Linked DNA regions of Coturnix japonica. The protein of the gene in region 1 purifies or fractionates together with the protein of each later gene. This does not show direct contact. Links are inferred from orthologs where the notes say so. Each region holds a gene or a part of one and is shown on either strand. Other genes may lie near its edges. The genes, in order: MRPS27 and NOA1.

The links.
Region 2: the proteins of MRPS27 (region 1) and NOA1 purify together in Homo sapiens (co-immunoprecipitation; 3 studies listed by BioGRID and IntAct, counting the BioPlex papers as one, with this or other methods). This does not show direct contact. The link is inferred for Coturnix japonica from reciprocal best matches to the Homo sapiens genes MRPS27 and NOA1.

Annotation. Positions count from the first base shown.
Region 1 is NC_029547.1:23,076,836-23,086,345, reverse strand, and holds part of MRPS27 (28S ribosomal protein S27, mitochondrial), read right to left. Parts: intron 9,010-9,510; coding exon 8,867-9,009; intron 6,210-8,866; coding exon 6,054-6,209; intron 2,038-6,053; coding exon 1,798-2,037; 3' UTR 1,773-1,797; exon of another isoform or gene 1,642-1,772; intron 468-1,641; 3' UTR 1-467. UniProt on the Homo sapiens protein: RNA-binding component of the mitochondrial small ribosomal subunit (mt-SSU) that plays a role in mitochondrial protein synthesis. Stimulates mitochondrial mRNA translation of subunit components of the mitochondrial electron transport chain.
Region 2 is NC_029519.1:43,875,627-43,885,237, reverse strand, and holds NOA1 (nitric oxide-associated protein 1), read right to left. Parts: upstream 5,536-9,611; coding exon 4,407-5,535; intron 4,014-4,406; coding exon 3,849-4,013; intron 3,473-3,848; coding exon 3,279-3,472; intron 2,577-3,278; coding exon 2,445-2,576; intron 2,064-2,444; coding exon 1,947-2,063; intron 1,583-1,946; coding exon 1,465-1,582; intron 1,381-1,464; coding exon 1,175-1,380; downstream 1-1,174. Other genes in the region: POLR2B (DNA-directed RNA polymerase II subunit RPB2), read left to right, coding at 5,534-5,552, 5,658-5,730, 6,902-7,052. UniProt on the Homo sapiens protein: Involved in regulation of mitochondrial protein translation and respiration. Plays a role in mitochondria-mediated cell death. May act as a scaffolding protein or stabilizer of respiratory chain supercomplexes. Binds GTP.

The DNA.
Region 1 (9,510 bases):
TGTGGCAGCTGGCTGCCTGCTGGAGCCTGATGAGCATTAGCAGCCTGGCATGTCCACCCAGCAGGGGAGGAGCACAGAGATGGGGCCAGAAACAGGCTCTGCATGCTGCCAAGGAAGAGATGCCAGCAAGCGGCTAGAAGCATGGCAGTGTCCACTGTGGCCTACCCAGATAGTATCTCATAGGCATGGGAACAACAGCTGGGATGGCTGGGGCCACACAGCAGACCCTCCATGCCTTAAAAATGTAGTGGAGGAAGAGTTGGCTCTTGTATCAAGAAGTCAAGAACAAAACTGGATGGTACAAGATCAATTGTGAACCTTTGGAAGTACAACCCATGTTCCCGTGCTGAAAAACTGAACACAGGCACAGGAAGGACACTTCAGTAGCCACCAGTTTTAACCAAATTGTTCTTAGAAGTGTGTTTGGCCTCCCACTCTTCCTTAAGGCTAGAAAGCATCAGGAGGACCTAAGAGGAAAAAAAAAAAGCTTCAGAAGAATTGATAAAAATTGCCTGTAAAGGCTACCGCTGTATTAGTCATGCCCAAACACAAAAATAACCTTTCACCTGGAGAGCACTACAGGAGAGACCACAGAATTGCTGACCTAAAGGGCAAAGGACCCTACTGTCATGTTCTTAGATGTGAAAGCAATCAAGTTGTGAGTGTACTCACAGGGAACAGGCAAAGCATTTGGTGAATGCCAGTAAGATGCCTAACTACAAATAAGTTCAGAGAACTGCAGCATGTTCTATTCTCAAAGGATTTAGTCAGTGTGTGATGTGAGATTTAGAGCTTTAAGGCTAGACAGGTGCATGATAAAACTGGAAATACTTCCCAGATACTGTGGAAGAGCATACTGAGGCATCACTGTTAACACAACAAGGTGCCATACAGAAAGGCTGTTGTCAGGGTCTCCCTCTGTTTAAGGAGCTTGCCCTGCAAGAAGCTGCAGAAAATTGTCTCTTGATCAGCTTCTGTGGCAACAGGGAATGTAAGAACCCACCTTCTCTCTCTTGACATTTTCTTTTGCTCTGTATGAATAGCTAAATCATTTTCACAATCCATATAATAGGCTATGGGATTATGTATGCAGCTAAGGCAAAAATGGGATTAGGTCAAAATAGAACCATGAAACAGTGCCCAGAATATAAAAGGAAATGCAGTGCAGAACGAGGCCCCTTTGCTGAGGTGATTGTGCCTATTTCTCTATTGACCTGAAAAGTGGAGCAGTTAGTGAATTTGGAAATTTCTCAGTTTCTTACAGGGAAGCATTTTCATAGGCACATCTAAGTGCCTTTGCAAGTGCTAACTCCCTGGTTCAAAAACAGTCTAAAGTAGGCTTACAGTTCTGTGTAGACTAGCCCAAATTTTCCAAGTGGGCAGGAAAAGAAAGCAGTCAACATACGTTAATCCTCTTAGTGGCTAAGTTCAGAGTGACCCAGGCATTCTTTTCTGTGAGAAACTCACACTGAAACGACTTGTGTATGAAATTTCTCCCTCTTCTTTTGTTTCTTCCACCCTCTACAACTTTCACCACAGGCAATGCCTTTGTTTCTTTGTATTATCTCCATACCACCCCCCCCATCTGGCTGCCAACCAGAGGAAAATATATCATAAACACGATAATTTCTAAACCACAAGTGCTTTTGCTTCAGGAAGCAGGAAAATGGAAATAGATTTATTTGCATGTAGTAGTCACATACAGTCATATTTGCAGCAGTAATTAAGTGAAATATTAATAGTGAACAGTTCACACACAGAGGAATGCATACCATTATGGCAGACTGAATTCCAGTATTAAGCAGATGCCTTAGCTAGCTTCCTAGCTTCCAGTTCCTGCTTAGCTTTTTCTCTCATTTCTCTTTCTCTCTCAATGAGAAGTGCTTGTTCTTGCTCCCACTCCTTTAGCTTCTGCTCATACTTTGCGATGTCCTCCACTTCACACGCTGGCAGCTTTTCCTTGACGAGCTGGGTGGTCAGGGTTAACAGGCTTTCAGATTCAACCTTGCCAAGTGAATGCAGCTTAGAGTACAGATCCTGCCACAGAATGAAGGATTTGATGGGGACAGAGAAGGAGAGAGACAATCAGTCACAAAATAATCAGTGACAAAGCTTACTTCCCTGTAACAACCAATTCATAGATGATTGAATCTAATGACTAGCTGTGTTGATCCAGGCTGGCCATTCTGTCCTAGCTAAGGATTTTGACTGTGATAGCAGGTATTACTGCTTCCCCTTGAAATGCTAACCTCCAGAGAAAGTTTTTCTGAGCAATAAAACTGAAACAAGAAAGAGCCCTAACTTACTGAAATTCTCCTTATTTTTCCAAGTGTAGTCACCTGCTGTAAACAAAGATCAGCTGACCGGTCAATTGTGAAAAGACAATTTAAGCACCTTTTTTTGTGTCTTAACTCAAAGCTGACTGACTGATGTGCTCCCCACTGCCTGCATTAGCATCACTCTCCACAGATGCAAATCACTTTAAATGCTTGCTGACTAGTAGCATGCTAAGTAGCTTCCATCTTTTTTTTGCCAACAGTTACTGTGATCTGAGGTTTGACTGTGTTTACTCACACTAAATGCAATAGACCTAAAGCAAGTAATATTTATTCAGGTATATTTTACAATGTAACAAAAAAATATAGCTTCACAAAGAAACTGCAATACTTCTTTCTGTGCTTTACTTACTTAGAGCTCATGCAGCATAAACATATTAATTCACTTAAGACAATGAGTCATCGAGTGATACTGCTTCTGGCTTTATGGAATATTTGGCCCAATGGCTCTCTAACAAGCTGATTAATTGCCTTAAAAGTGCAGCTACACAGACAGCCAGGAAAGAGTTTCCTGGGGGAGGAAGACAACATGGCACTGGCACATTCCTTAACCCTTGCTCATTCATTAGATAGGAACATGTTTTCCTGATTGTTCTTTTAAATAAAATGTTTTACTGAAACAGGCACTTGCTGAAATGTTTAAAGAAAGAAGGTACCCTAAAGGTAGGTACACCCACGTACTTCTTTCATGTGTTCTTTGAATAAACCCCACTGATTTGCACTGAAAGATAACTGAAAGAAGATGGGATAATTAATCATCACACAAAATGGTGACTCCGAGGGCATGATGACATTCAGTTTTCCACTCCCAGTTATCACTGGGAGCTTGCACACTATCACTATGCAGCTGGCCCACAGCGCTGCTCTTACCCAGACTCACTGCATTAATCTGCAGAAGCGCTGCAGCTCAACTCTAGCCTCAAGGTTATGCCTTCTTTTGAAAAGGGAAATTGGAGTGCCTCTTCGGATACCTTTTTACCTCTCCCTGCCTCAGCCAACATAACTACAACAGGTTTGCTGTTCTGTCAGGCCCAGGAAAGTTTGAACATGACCAACAGCAGATAAAAAGCTCTTTTAACAGTATGTGTGCAGGTCTGAGGTGCTTGGGAATTTGGCTCTGTTGCCTTTAATTTTATGACAAAGTTTATAAACAAAAACAACCTGACATTACCAAATTAAAACCAAAATTAGTAACATCTGTTTATTTATTTCTCTTCTGTTTGAGATATGAGTGAATTTACCGTACATCCAGAATAAATACGAAAACAGCATGGTTTGAGTTTGGGAAAGGAACACAATTCCTGATAACTGATACAGAGTCTCCCTACTACCCACTACTAAGGATGTGCTAAAAAGAGTTTGTATGCTAAAACTAAGCAGTATGAAATTGAAATAGAAGAAATGCAATGGACTGGAAACTAGCTGGGCCCCTCTCCTAACCCATTATTGGTACTACAGAACTCTGGAATCTTCTCTGCTCTGCTGTAATACATTAGTGAAACTCATTTAGGAAAGTAGCTATATCCTGCAGGTACCAGAAGGGTACATTCTTAAATGGCAAACTCATTGATTTTTATAAGCAGTCTCCAGGGCTCTGGATGCAGATAGAGAAGGTACATTGCTTTTAAAGAGGGTGCTCTCAGCATTTATATGATTAAATGCTTGCCCACTGATCACTGACACAGATGGAAGGAATTGCCTAAGGAACACTGTACTGAGTAATATGCCTCAGAATACAATATCTGTGAACAGGTAATTACAACATGAATGAGTGTGTCAGACACAAAATCCTAAACTACTGCTCTGAAGGCTTTATCTGGAAATAGCCAAAGGCTCTCAAGTCCTGATTGCTGGGGGCGAGGGGCATTCTGCCTCTCACATATCTGATTTCCTAGACAGGCTGCCACAGCTGTTTCAGAAGTTTGTACTAGACATGAAGTTCAAGACAGTGTAGAAAACCATGCAGACCATGGTGCAAGAACTAGACAAAGTCCAGGTGTTTTTCCTTGCATGTCAAGGTGTACCACTGGATAAGAACTGGACAAACATGAGACAAAAACTATTTTGAGCACCAGGAGAAAGACTGAGACATGCTTGCTAATACATAACTAGACAAAGTGCAACAGTCTTCTCAGCAGCAGAAGTGCAATTTGGTGTTGGGATTAAACAGCATGTGCCAGGACACTGGCAACAAATGCCAGCATCACCAGTTTTTCAACAGAGCAGCCATAACTTTCCTTGTATCTATGTGTATTTTCAGGGTACTTGCACCTCTGTCGTGCCAGCACCCAGGTGGTCAGCTGGGAAAACTGCTGCTGGCTGAATGGATTTGAGAGGGGAGTATAATAACTCTTCCAGACTTAGCAAGAGTGACATTGTGTCTTGGAAGCTAATTTTTCTCATCAAGACAATTGGAAATTACAGCTTCTTATATATAACTTACTGTTGCATACCTATACTTTGCGTAAGTGCTATGCTTTTACTTAGATTTACACTTCTCAGAGACCTTAGAGATAAGGATGAACAAAGTAGTTTGTTGGATTGACATCAGGGCACTCATCTACTACATCACGGAATGCCTAAAATTGAGTTAATTATGGAACTTGAAGAAAGGTTGAAGCAATGAGAAAAATATTCTCTTGGCACCACTCTTCCTCACTGTTTGACATTTAGACATTGTTTTGAGCATTCATCATTAATTTTGTTCAAGGGTAGACAATGGATGGACAATGACAGACACAAAAAAAATGCCTCATTCTTTCCTTCAAAGGACATGTGTATTTACCTAACTCACTGTAATTCATCAAGGCATGAATTATCACATGCTGTCCACTCATTCATTTCAAATACAAAGTCCTACGTGCTTAAGTGTAATATTCAAAGACTTGTGGTAAATAGTCTATATAAATATAAACAGAAGAAGGGAAAAGCAAGTGTTGGTAATGTGAAACCATAGGGTAATCATCTAATTTCTGAAATTTCTTTAGAGCAACTGTCTGTATTCAGAGCTGATCAAGGTCATGACAGCAATAGAGGAAACTGATGGTCTAAGAAGAGAGCATTACACCTGGAACTATAAGCCAGACTAGTTTTAACCCAGGGTACTTGATTTTTACCACAACAGAAATCAGAGATGATAAAATAAAATGGGCTTTTTATATAGCTACCAGATGATAATAAAAAAATACCATATAGCTAGGCTGTAATGTTTGAATTTCATATTGTTCTAACACTGTATCAAGCTAAATATAAAAAGGAAGAAAGATATACTTTATTATCCAGACTGAAAGTACAGGATGCAACTTTTGTACTTAATGTACATAAATGGACAATAAGTTTAGGATGGTCTCATATCTAGTACAATTTATTTTAATAGGCAAGAACCCACTCAAAGTCAGATAATGGATCTCTAATGACATACCACTTTTGCAAACAGCATTTGGATTTATCATTCTGATGTATGAGAAGTGAAGATAAAATCCCAGCAGACAGACAAAAGACAAGTGGCCTTGAGCACTTATTTGTTTGAAGGCTGCTTCCTTTTTGAGTAAGTGAAAATGTAAGGTGACATCAGGTTCAAAAATGCCAGGTGGACTCCTGGTGCACTGGAAGAGTGTCAGTCTAATAGCCATAATTTGTGAAGTTATTTACTTATCTTCTAGTATGTAATAAGGAGATCTACAGCTTAGAATATTTAGATGAACAGAAGTTTCCTACCTTGAATCGGCTGTAGTACTCGGGTACTTTAGACTGCTCCATTTCTTCCGATTCTGTATATTCTGACTTCTGCTCTACTTCTTCGGCTTCTTCAGATGGCTCTGGACCAGGTTTTGCTTCAAGGACAGACCGTAAAACAGTCTCCAGGACATCAACCTGTGCAATCACATTTGTCACTGTTAGAATAAACTGTTTGAAACTGCAATCTGACTAATACCACCGTCAACTTTACAAACAACTTTGTAAGTTGCCATGTAGTTCCAGATAACTACTCTAAATGAAAAATTCTAGAAGCAGTCTCACTCCTTCTTGGAAGAATTCATTTTGGACTTCTAAGTTGGGACATTTTGAAGTCCCTGAAGCAGAACAGCAGGTCTCTGTCAACTCCTTGTGAGTCAGTTGCTGATTGGCACTTGAGAATGTGTCAGGCACTAGGCTAACATCTCCTCTAGGTCTGACACTTGGCTGTAAATACTAATGTTAAACAGTAACCCCCGTGATAGTGTGATACACAATCACAGATACATCTAAATATGAGGTTATTGCAAAACATTCAAGCAATACAGTATTTAATAGATCATCCTGGTTCCTCTTTCGTGAAAGTAAGAGGGAAATCACTTATTCAACAAGATTTATTCCTGTCACGGGCTAGATAATTTAATAGGAAAAATGGAAATGTGGCATGCAACATACTGCTAAAGGTATACTTTTAATCGCTATGACTCCAGTTTTTTTTCATGTTCTCCACCTGGAGTTATCAAGAAAACCACCATCTCCTAACTGAAGTAGCAAAAAAACTCATTTGTATCACTATGGGACTTACTAAATTATTTCCTTATGTATTATTTATACAAACTATGGAATTGCTATATGGATGCTGCTGCTGTTCTGGGAATAACATGATTGTCATAATTTAAATTACTGAATGCAGGCTGACTGCATTTTAAAGTTCAGCCATTAGAAATATAAAGAGCTGTTACCCTTCTGTGAATCTTTATCAGTTGGAAGCAATAACTGTGTAACCTTGGAATCCATGAAACTTACCACAAGCATAATGTCTCTTGGTACCTATGTGGTTTCATTTTTATGGCACAAGCATATGATGCTAAAGAATAAAAATGAGGCTTACTTGAAATAACATTCTTATCACTAAAATGTAATTCATAAACTACCAACACTGAAACAGGATCAAAAATAAAAAAATTAAAAAAATAAAAAAATCAATTAAATTCTAATTATGTGCTTGGAAATACATAAATTCTAATTTTGAGAGTTTCTCAAGCAATCACACGTACTTGTTGCTTGTTCAGTTAAATAGTATAGGACAACACTAAATCAGTGTTTCTATTGTTCTGATAGTAATAGAAACTCTTTCTGCCAAATAGTAATGACAGAGAAAACTTTTTGTTTAGATGACAAAATTTGTTCAACTAGAATATTACATTTTAGAAAATAATCAAGTTTGGAAAAACAGGATTATATCTTTTTCAAGTGACCACTACTGTGCAGGTATGACAGGACAGTGTACAACATGGCCCATACTTATTAGTGCTATGACCTGATACACCAGATGCAGTCCTGTTTCAGCACAAGGATGTTTGCAGATTGCCCAGAAAAGTCTGAGGAGTTCTTTAATTTGTCTAATGTTTGCAAGTGGAAAAAATCATAGATCTATAAGGCTGGGTTCTTCAGGCTTGGATTAAGAAAGAAAACTGCTGAATCACAGCCCCAAAAATAAAATGGTGGGGGTTTCAGATGTTAATGCTTCCTTCCTTGTCTTATCCACTATTATGCAGACCTGATTCTCAGTACAGAGCATGAGTAAAGCCGGCTAATCAGTGACCTGGCCTTTGTACACCAAGGAAAATGCAGACCCTAGTAGTGGTGCAAGTAAAAGGGAGACTGCTATCACCAGGCAGCCCTTCAGGAAGGAACACCAAGAAAGGCTGTTGAGAGCCTCAGTGCTTTTCCTATATAACATCCCATGTGGTTTATTCCACCTAAACCGGCTGGTCCAGGAGCAGCTTGAAGCCTCACAGTGACTGAATCCCAGCACCCCTTAGTTGGAGCTAACCTCACAAAAAGCCCGAATCGCAGAATGGCCCAGGTTGGAAGGAACCCCAGGGATCATGAATCTCCAACCCCCTTGCCAGGAAGGGCCACCAACCTTTCCATTTACTAGACCAGATTGCCCAGGGCCCCATCCAACCTGGCCTTGAACACCTCCAGGGACAGGGCATCCACAACCTTTCTGGGCAGCCTGTTCCAACACCTAACCACTTTCATAATAAAGACCTTACCCCTAACATCCAACCTAAATCTTCCCTCCTCCAACTTAAAACCATTTCCCATTGTCCTGCTGTTAAATCTACCCATCATCCCCATAAGAGCACACTACAACCCTTCTAGAAACCACTCTGAACTGCCTACAGAGCAGTACCATTTAGAACATAAAAACCACCTGAAAGGACATACAGAATTAGCCATGAGAAGCACAAGACATGACGTTTCATCTTCAAGTATGTCTCTGAGGGATCTGGGAAGTACCACAACAGGAACATAAATGGTATGTGGCAACAGCAGATACTCACTCCCAAGGACACGGCAATAGATATAACTGCTAGCTTGCCACCTAAAGCAGTGTCTGTTCTAAACCACCTCTCCTGGATTCCAAAGAGCTGTGAAAAATTGCTGGGTCTGGAAAGGTCGGATATCTTCTCATTAGCAAGGCAAGTAATTTACAAGTTTTACTTGAGTTTGGCATGTACATAATTTCTTGTTTTATGCAGGTAGTATGCAGTTTTCATACTCACAGCTTCTTGGCAGATTTTGCTGTCTCCTGGCAAAGAAGCTACATTCTCCATCACCTGCAATGCTCTATTTAAGTATCCAGGTGTCCACATCAATGGCATTAGGTTGTATACAGCTCTTAGACCTTTATTCAACTCCACTTTCCCTGTGATAAAACAGATAAAACCTTCAGATCAGTACCTGAAAACTCAAGTCCTGAGGAAATCTATAAGAGTTGACACTGTTCTTTGCAACAAAGCAAGTTTCTAGATTTGTCTGGTAAAAACAACACTCTTTTCTGTGAAGCAGCTCTGACAGAATTGTTATTGTTATACTTAAAGTGCCTCCTATTTGCCCAGTTTCAGGACTATCACGTTTGTTTCTTGTTCCTCTCTACTTATATTTTTCCATCACCTGGAAATTTTGTTCACGTGGAAAAGAGGAAAAGTGGAGTAGTTTTCTTGTTGTTTGGCAATTGTAACAGCAGTTCTAAGCAGGATTTCTGAATGTCTCTGACAAACAGTTCCAGAGCCTTCATGGACTTACTGTGCAACATGTGTCCACCAAATCTGAGAGGCTGGACTCCCACATGTGGTTTTAAGGGTTTATTTACACATGTATCAAGGCCACATAGTATAAGATTAATAGTACATGCTCTCAGTATAGA
Region 2 (9,611 bases), on another chromosome or scaffold:
GGCCTTTTCTCCTGGATACAATTCCAGCACTGGCTACTGGTCTTTGTGAAAAAGGCTGTTTCCATAAATCAGGGGACCTGCTACACAGAACAAAGCTCACCTGCAGTTTTTTATGGCCAACTCCTGGGCTGGGGCCCAGTGCTGTCACAGAGCAAGGCCTTCCAGTTACTTTCTGCATCTGGTATTGTTTGCCTTTTATATTGTGTCTTTTCCAGACTTACAGCATTAGAGGAATGCTGTAGGAGATGCCTGTTTTTACTTGTCAAGCTTGTTTGTACAGGCCATGTCTAGACCCTCCTTTTTGATGCCCAGTTTTGCTGGTACAGTTGTGACCATTTCTATGTCCTCTTCTCCAGGTCTGGTGAGTATAACCCTCACTAAAGACAAGATGCTGGTAGAAGCAGGCTTCTACTGTCTTTTCCCATAACGCTTAATGGAAATACTGTGGCCAGCCTTGCTGGTGATTTCTAAAGAAGACAAAGGAGTCTTGAAAAGCTTTGTTTAATTGCACATCCTCAGTTTTAGAAACTTTTACACAAGCAAAAGGAACCAAATCAAAGCAGACAGTTATCAGGCACCTGAGCAAATCTGCTTTTCTTTAATTCTTTTTTCCTGTGTCCAGAAGTAGGGCAATGCATCAGATACTGAGGGGGCCTGATTTTTGGTCAATGACGTTTAATTACCACAAGCTCCTGGGAGTGTCATGCCCACACCAGAGAATTCCCTGCTCCTCTTCCCCACCCTCCACCTCCTGCTTTAGAAACAACATAAAGGCTCCAAGAACCAGGTGATGGTTTCTGACCTGTGAGAGCACGTCTGCTAGAAAATACCTACTCTCTGAGCAGCAAAGTCAGCAAAGGGCAGGCAGATGAGCTTCCATGCTGTATTTCAAGAGGAAAATGATAATGAGGGTTGCTCCCTGACACTGCCTGATCCCAGGGAAAAAAAACATTTCACCTCAGAGAACAAGGTACGAGCCATCCAGCTCACCTGAACTAGCTGCAGCTCAGTAGTTGTGTTAGACTTGTGGTGCCCTACATCAGATTTACCTCACATGGACCTCCCTTGAAACCGTGCCTGTCTGCCTTTTAGATGAGTCTAAGCTCTTCTGAACGTCAACAGAAGAATCTGTTCTGAAGTTCTGAATCCTATCTCACTCAGACGATGGTGAGTGCTATCTGTTCCGCACAGCTTTCAGGTTTTCTACGAGGGAAGGAGGCTTTTTGGTTCTGTAGGCAGCAGTACCTGGGATCCGGGCCCCTCTGATGCTACTGATATATGGTAAAAGGGGAGGCTCCCGTACCACCACTGTGGTGCCCCTGGGTGTATAGGCTCGGAGCAACAGTTCCTCTTCTGCATGAGCTGTCACCGCCACCCAGCCTGCAGAGCAAAGAAAGAAACAGTCAGTAGGAAGAGTTGCTCATATGAAAACAAGGGTTCTCACACAAAGAAACATTAAATTACCTGCAGAGGAAAGTTTGATATCTGCGACTGCCTCAGCAGTACCAGTTCCTTTCAGTGTAATGTCCTGAGGGACAAGTGGGGGGAACTCTTTCATTCGCTCTTTCCCACCCATTGGAACCTAATGTCAAAACAATAAAAGATTTAACAGCTAAGAGATGCTTCAGTACTCTTACGTTAAACTGAAGAGCAATGCACAAGCAGGAACAGAGAAATTAAACTTCTATTATCTAAGTAAGAGCTAGTTTGAATATCCTTACAGAAGCTACTTCGGACTTGCAAAGAGCAGAACTGGGATCACATCCAGAACAACCCAGCCCAATGAAGCCCACAGCTCAGGAGTGAGCAAAGATGGAGCATCTGCTACATAGGCCAGCTGTTGGCCCAAGCCAGCCTCCTTACTGTGGGTTACAGCACTTGTATGTATGCTCAATGTGTGCAAGGCTGCAGCCAAGACAAGGACAGCTTGCACATACTTCTCTTACCTTAAAGAACTCCTGCCCAGCATGCTTCTCATACATGGCATCTGCACTGCTCAAGGTAGCAACGTGGACTGGCAACATCCTAGAAGCCACAACAGAAAACCAGGCAGGTTTTTCTCCCTGAAACAAAACAAAGCATGTGTTGTTCATGCTAACAGAAAAGTAACCCCTAACTGCTCTCTCTTGCTTCATTTCCTTGCTGTATGTTGAAATCTTGTCTTTTACTGGCGTCCTTGCCTCTGCATGTCATGGGAAGCCCTTCAAGGCGAAGGTGTTTATTGGCATTTAATAGCACTGATGGTTTTATAATACAAAATACTGCACACTGATAACAAGTATCACCACTCTCCATCCCAAGGCATTTTTACTTTATGTGGTGCTTTATTAACAAACTTATCTTGAAAGCTGCAGTGAAAGGAGGTGGAGAAGCTACCTGGACTATCTTTTATTGTTTGGTCCTATACCAGAAGATGAAGCTGCTGCAATCCTGTTTTTTCCTACCTGTAAGTAGTCTACGCGTCCTAAAGCTGCTAAAAACAAGACCATTCCTGGCTTGAGAATGAAGGTCCGTGGAATGATGGCTTGTGTTGGCAAAACCTGCTTTACTTCTTTCTCTGTCAGGAGATTCAAAACCTGAAACATAAATTGTGCAGTCAGGACACACTGTTTTCTGTGATTATTCAACTTCAGAAGAAGGAAGATCACGCTCTGTCTCCAGTAAGAGCTCTAAGCCCCTGGCTACCTTCACATCAGACACTAAGTAGTTATTAGAGGGCAAACTAACACAAAGTGGGTTGGAGATGATCTGGCAGGCATCTACTAGGAAAGTTCTGACACCACTGCTGGTTTTCTATCTCCTAGTACCTTTTAATTTCTCCCAAAAGATGACCTGTGGCTCCACAAAGATATCAGTGTGATGGAAAAAACCCACAATATGACATTTTAGGACATATGCACTATATAAGCACCGGCTTCAGCATCATTGCTCTACTGAAACACTGAAGTAGGCTGTTAACTGTTATTAGCTATTAACACTGCAGATCCTTCTGGCTTCATGAGAATGCTTCGGGTCTTTCCCAAAGCTTTGGTTTGGTCACACAATACTAGTTTATCCTCCTAAGCTCCACCTTTTTCAGTAGGGTGGCAGAGTTAAAGAAGCATAGATTTCTCTGGGTGATACTGATATGAAATTGTTTTAACAGTATTGTACTTCATTAGAAAGTGGGTTGACACACAGTTCCTTCACAAAGATCACAGCATGCACCATTCAGAAACACAACAGCAGAAACACGATGGACTTTGACCTCCTGAAGCACAATGCCACAGAGTACCTACACAGTTTTCCTTTACAATCCCTGGAGTATCAAAACACCAGCGAGCATCCTTCACTTCATTGTATGTGAACTCTTGTCTTTCCTCATTCTTCTTAGGGATATGGCATGGATCTTCATCTATGCTGTACGACAGCATGTCAGGGTCAAAATCAATCACAGAGCTCTCCCGACGTTTAAATGTTCTTCCAACTCTTCCTGGATTGAAATGAAAGGTTTCCTGTTCATTCATTTATTAACCTGCATTTCCTCCAGTTGGACACCTCTCCCTTCCCTTGATTAATAGGGATGCACAACTATGATAGAAATGTGATAAAAATGTCACGTGCATGTTTAAAAGCCAAGATGCCAACAGATCCCTTCTGTAATTCCTGCTTAGCACTCCTTAAGCCCCAAAACCTCAGCAAGGACCATATACAGACAGCATATTTCTTACTGAGTTCTTACAGAATGGGTAGAAATTGCCTGCCAAAACCAGATGTATTCATCAGAAAATTAAGAGGTTAACAATCCTTTGTGTAATGCAGCATTTCCATTGGGACGTTCCATCACGTTTTACACAGACAATACTCACCCACTAAGTAACCTTGCTTTTTAAGGCGATTCAGGTGCTTTTTTTCCTCATCGCTTAGCTGATCTTCTGTTTTTTGTGCCTCTTCTTTCAGCCTCTCCTGCCTCCTGAATATCCTGTCGCACGTAGGGTTGATAATTGGAAATTTCAACAAGTTCAGTGTTGTTCCTGGAAGAAGAAGGAGGAGAAAGCAAAAAGGGTGACACATCCAGACCTCTGGGATACCTGGATATCCAGACTCATACTTAAGCTCTGAGGTACATGAATAAAAAAGTACTTGGAGCCATCTAACAAAGCTGGAGGTGGAACTAAGCATCAACACCTGCTCTGCTTAAGTCTCCCTCCTAGGCAGAGTGGCTGGAGTGTGTTACCATCCACTTGGTACCTGCTCTCTTGTTGAAAGGCTTCTCAGACACTCTCACTAATTAAAATCATGCTGATGCTGGTACAGTCGTGGGTCATCTGAGCTGATTTTAGGGAGGTCGATCAGACACTTTAGCAGCAAAGCCTTGTGACCTTAGCACCCGAGTGCGATATGGGGATGCTGGTAGTGCCCCTCACCTGGCCAGGATGAGACGGTGGCCCTACTAACCACGTCGGGAGCTCGTGACTTGCAGTAGTCGGATTGCAGCAGGGCATTGAAGAGCGTCGACTTGCCCGAGTTGGTGGCCCCCAGCAGGTAGACATCACCGGCGCACTTCCAGGAGCGCTGCAGCCGGCTGACCAGCCCCTCCATCCCGAAGCCCGTTTTGGCACTCACCAGCCGTACATCCACTAATTGCTCCCGGGCGATGCCGGCCTGCAGACAGGCGGCCGTCACTCTCTGCCGCAGCCGCCCCAGGTGCCCGGGGGAGTCGGCCGGCAGCAGATCCACCTTGTTGCCCACCACCAGCAGCCCCGCTGCGGGCACGTCGGGGCTGAGCAGCGCGGGCAGCTGCGGTAACACGGGGTCGGGCAGCTCCAACACATCCAGCGTGTAGAGCAGCAGCGGGCCCCTGCCGTGCCGCGGCGGGCTGCGGAGCGCGTCGCTCAGCACGGCGCGGTGCTGCTCGGCCGGCAGCTCCAGCCGCACTAAGCGGCCGCCGTGCGCCATCACCCAGCACCGCTGGCACACGGCATCGCGCAGCCCGGCCGCTCCGCCCGGCCCCGAGCACAGGCTGCGGTACTTGTCGGCCGGCACGAAGCCCGGCGCCGCGGTATCGCGGCACTGCAGCTCGGCCCCGCAGCCCGAGCAGCCCACTCCGCTCGGCGGCACGGACGGGTCGGCCTCCCCCAGCAGCCGCTCCCTGCCCGCCCGCCTCCGCGCGGCAGCTCTGCCCGTCGGCGAAGCGGCGGGTGGTGCCGGTGGTGGTGGCAGTGGTGTTGGTGGTGATGGTGGCTCTGGCTCCGGCTCATACTCGAGGAATACGAAGCGCTCCTCCTCGCCGCCCAACGCCTTCCATCGCCTCGCCGCCCATGGCCGTGCTGGCCGCAGCCGGCCCAGCAGCGCCCGGCCCAGCTGCAGCATGACGGGCAGCGTGAGCAGCCCGCAGGAAGGGGCAGGGCGAGGCTCACCCCGCGCATGTGCGCTGCTCCCCGTTCCCGCCGCCCTCCTTCCTGTGGCCGCCGCTCGGCGGGCGCTCGGTGCCGGATTCTCGGCTTCTTTCTCTCCCGTCCCGGCCGGTCGCGGCTCCCTCCTCGCTGCCGCCATGTACGACGCGGATGAAGGTGAGTGAGGCCGCGCCGGCCGCCTCCCGCCGGGCCGCTCCCCCGCTTCTATGGGCGGCCCCGTAGTGGCGGCCTTGGCCTGACCCGCTCCCTCTTCCCCTGTAGATATGCAATATGATGAGGACGACGACGAGATCACCCCCGACCTGTGGCAGGAGGCGTGCTGGATCGTCATCAGGTGATGCTCTCGTTGTGCTGCTGCTGGTGGGACGGGTGCACGGAGGCCTCGGGCTTTGCGACTAGGCCGGGCCGCGTGGTTCGGCTTTTAGGGAGCGGAGCTGCGCTCAGCTGGGCTGTGGGGCCCTTGTTTGGTTTGGCAGGGCTTACAGACATAGGGCAGCTGGTTGATGAACCTCGTGAGGTCCAGCAAAAACAAGGTACAAGGTCTTGCACCTGGGTTGTGGCAACACCCGCTACCAGTACCAGCTGGGAGCAGGTGGATGGCAAGATGGACTTGAGACAGCAGTGTGCCTTGGCAGCCGAGAAAGCCAGCTGTACATAAGTACTATTACAGTAAGAGCGATGAGGCACCAAAACAAGTTGCCTAGGGAAGTGGTGGAAGTCCTGTCCCTGAAGTCATTCAAGGGGCTCTGAGCACCATAGGTGTCCTTGTTTCTTTTAGGAGAGTTGGACTGTCTGACCTTTAAGGGTCCCTTCCAACTCAAACGTTTATGTGTTTCTACTGCACTGGCACAGGCTGCTCAGGGAGGTGGTGTAGTCAGTCACTGGAGATGTGGTGCTGAGGGACACGATTGGTGGGGATGGGTAGGAGGTTGGACTAGTTTTCCCAGCAGAACACCAACAGCCAGGCCCTGTGGCTCCTCATGCTGTTAAGAAGCGCACATTGTAAGCAAAAAGTGTTTTTCTTTTGAACAGGAGCCTTTCCCTATGTGCAGTGGGGATAGAGAACAGCAAAGCCAAGGTAGCGTGAGATCTCCAGGTGCCTTCAGGGCTGTGTGGCACACAGCCCATGTCTTCAGGTCATCCTGTTAACAATGAGAGTGCAGGGCTTGGAATGTTGGCTTTGGTTTCATGACTGGGTTGTGGTGTTGGGTTATGTCTGGGCCACACAAAAGCTAGAGGAATTTAAGATAGAGTGCGTACACGGCTCAGCCAGGAGGTGGCAGCAGGTCTGTCACTTTGCAGTCTGCCTTCAAACACCGATGAGAGTTGAGTTTAACATTTCTGAGCATCTGTGTACACAACCCGTGTCTCAGGCAAAAAGTATTTTCTACTGTATTTCAGAGCTTTTCAAGATTTTGTAATGAATTTACCTTAAGCTTGCTGACAAAATACATCACTTAAATTAAGTTATCTTGTTAATGTGTTTTGTTTTGTTTTTCCTTTAGCTCCTATTTTGATGAAAAAGGTTTAGTCAGGCAACAGCTGGATTCTTTTGATGAGTTTATTCAGATGTCTGTGCAGAGAATTGTTGAAGATGCTCCACCGATTGATTTACAGGCAGAAGCCCAGCATGCCACAGGAGAAGTGGAAGAACCGGTAAGTGGAGGCAAAGGGGTTTCATAAGCAAAATGAGTAGGTGGTACCTTGAGTAGGTGGGTTTCATTCGGTCTGTGTCTGGAGAGACTGAAGTACATCTGAGTTGGGACACAGCCGGGAGGATGGAAGTGTAAACTGCTTGGATTCTATAAGGCAACTGTGCAACTGCTGAGGATGGGAGCAGGCCTCATCGACAGGGATTTAGTGGAGCAAGCAAGCTAGCCATAATAAAACCGTGCTTTGCTGGGATTTTTGGTTCTTGGTAGCTTTACTATGGCAGAAAAGGCTTAAGACTAAAAAGGCTTTTGTTAGGTCTGGGTTTTCTAGTAGTGCCCTTACTTATCATCTTCCATTGGTACCATGTTCCACATTATCTAAGGTCTTTGTGAGGACTTATGAAGTGTGTGAGGGTACAGTACATGTTCTGCATTGGTTGTGGTGCTTCTGCTGTTCACTGTGGTGTCTCCCATATGGTGCGGTCCTGTGTATGTCAACAGCGATGATCCAGTTACTCAAGTTTCTGCTTCCCTTTTGAGCTTTAAGGGAACTTTAGGAATTCTGAGAGTCAAATCTGTTATGTTTTGACTGTTCCTTTCCATTTTTTGTGCGTGCATGCATTGTTTAGAGAGAGTAACAGATTTCTTTTAGTTCCTGAGTTTGTCATAGGGCTCATTCTTGGGTAGATGAACACTCATAAATGTTTGTAATTCCTCTTAATATTTCCTCTGTTGCTCTGTGTATATTATATCTATATTCCCTAGCTGTGCAGTTCTGCAGATGCTGTATGAGCTGTATGCAGTTAAGTGTGGATCTCCAGCATATATGTGTTTAACTTTGCCCAAGACATAGTATTTGACTTGAGGGTAGGTTTCTTGCTCTTATTTATCCAATTGAAGTTTTAAGAGTATGGCCTAGATATGAGAAAAAGAAAACTTGGTTTTTCCTTCAGTTTTACTTGTTGGCAATCTCTTGTCTAATGGGAGAATGCAGGATTTAATTAAGGAGGCTGAGTATGATTGGACTAATCCGAGGTGACTTGTTTCTCCCTCCTTCCATGTTCAGCTTTGCATTTTGAGGGCAGCTAGGACAGTATGTTTTATAGCACACTAAAGTGTTTTTACAGCCGTGCTGAGAGATGGGAATTACAGTAAATGTGTGTTCTACGTGCTTACATGAGAACCTGTGAAAGTTATTTCACGCAGCTACTGCTGCAAATGAAGGAGAAAGGTGTTTCTTTGGGTGAGAATTGAGAGCTAGCTGTGCTAGAGCTTTGGTGTTGTACTACAGTAGTCCTAATGGCTCGGATACAGTTAGATAACTGCATGGAGCTCAAGTTTTGCTTTAGTTATAGATATTCACAGCTGGCTTCTAGATGGTGGGGTGGCAGCACTACTGTTCTTTGTTTGGGTTAGTTTCTGTTCTGCAAGCAGTCACAGTGTGAAACAGGAACTCAAAAGAAAGGCTTTCAAGGCAGTGGGTCTTTCAACTTGTTCATGTGCCGGTCGAGTGACTGGCTTATGTTTCTATACCCTTGGATTTTAGTTGGTGAAGGAATGCTTTGGGGACAGCAGCTCTAAACTCTCATTGCAGTGGGAATACGGACTCGCACCTTTTTAAGGTGTCAGTTGTCTCATTGTTTGTGTTGGAGTAAATTTGCCTCTTTATCTTATGCTCAATCAGTTTTATCTAAAGCTATGTCAGCAATAAATATATATATACTGGGCAAATGCTGTTTATTAATGTACTCACTCTGACTTAGTAGATTCTGAGTTGACTGACTTCATAGATTTTGACCTCATTGCAGCCTTTCAATACCTGAAGGGAACTTACTCCCAGGAGGGGAGTAAACTCTTTGAAAGGGCTGACAATAGCAGGACGTGGGGAAATGGTTTTAAGTTAAAAGAGGGAAGATTTAGGTTGGATGTTAGGGGGAAGTTCTTCACTAGGAGAGTGGTTAGGCCCTGGAACAGGCTGCCCAGGGAGGTTGTGGATGCCCCGTCCTTGGAGGTGTTCAAGACCAGGTTGGACGGGGCCCTGGGCAACCTGATCTAGTAAAGGTGTATGTTTGGTGGCCCTGCCAGGCAGGGGGGTTGGAACTACATGATCCTTGAGGTCCCTTCCAACCCGGGTCATTCTGTGATTCTGTGAGTTAATTAGCTGTTTTACAGGAAGACAACGTTATTTGGGTACCTTATACCCTATTATGGGTACCTTAACTCTTACCAATGGTTTTGACTTTTCAGTTACCTCTGTGTGTTTCTTTTTCCTTTAATGAGGTGTCTAGAAGTTATTGAAGGTTCTTGAATGTTTGGCACTGGAACAGGTTGCCCAGAGATGTGGCCGAGATTTTCAAGGCGAGATTGTATCAGGCCCTGGGCAGCTTGATATAGCTGTGCTGTCCCTGCCCATTGCAGGAGAGTTGGACTAGATGGCCTTTAAATGTCCTTTCCAACTCTGAGGATTGATTCTATGATGTGCTCAGCTAGCCAACAGAATAGGGATTGTTTCTACACCCTGAGTGTGAGGACATGCAGCAGCGTTGGGTATTAAGCTCAAGGG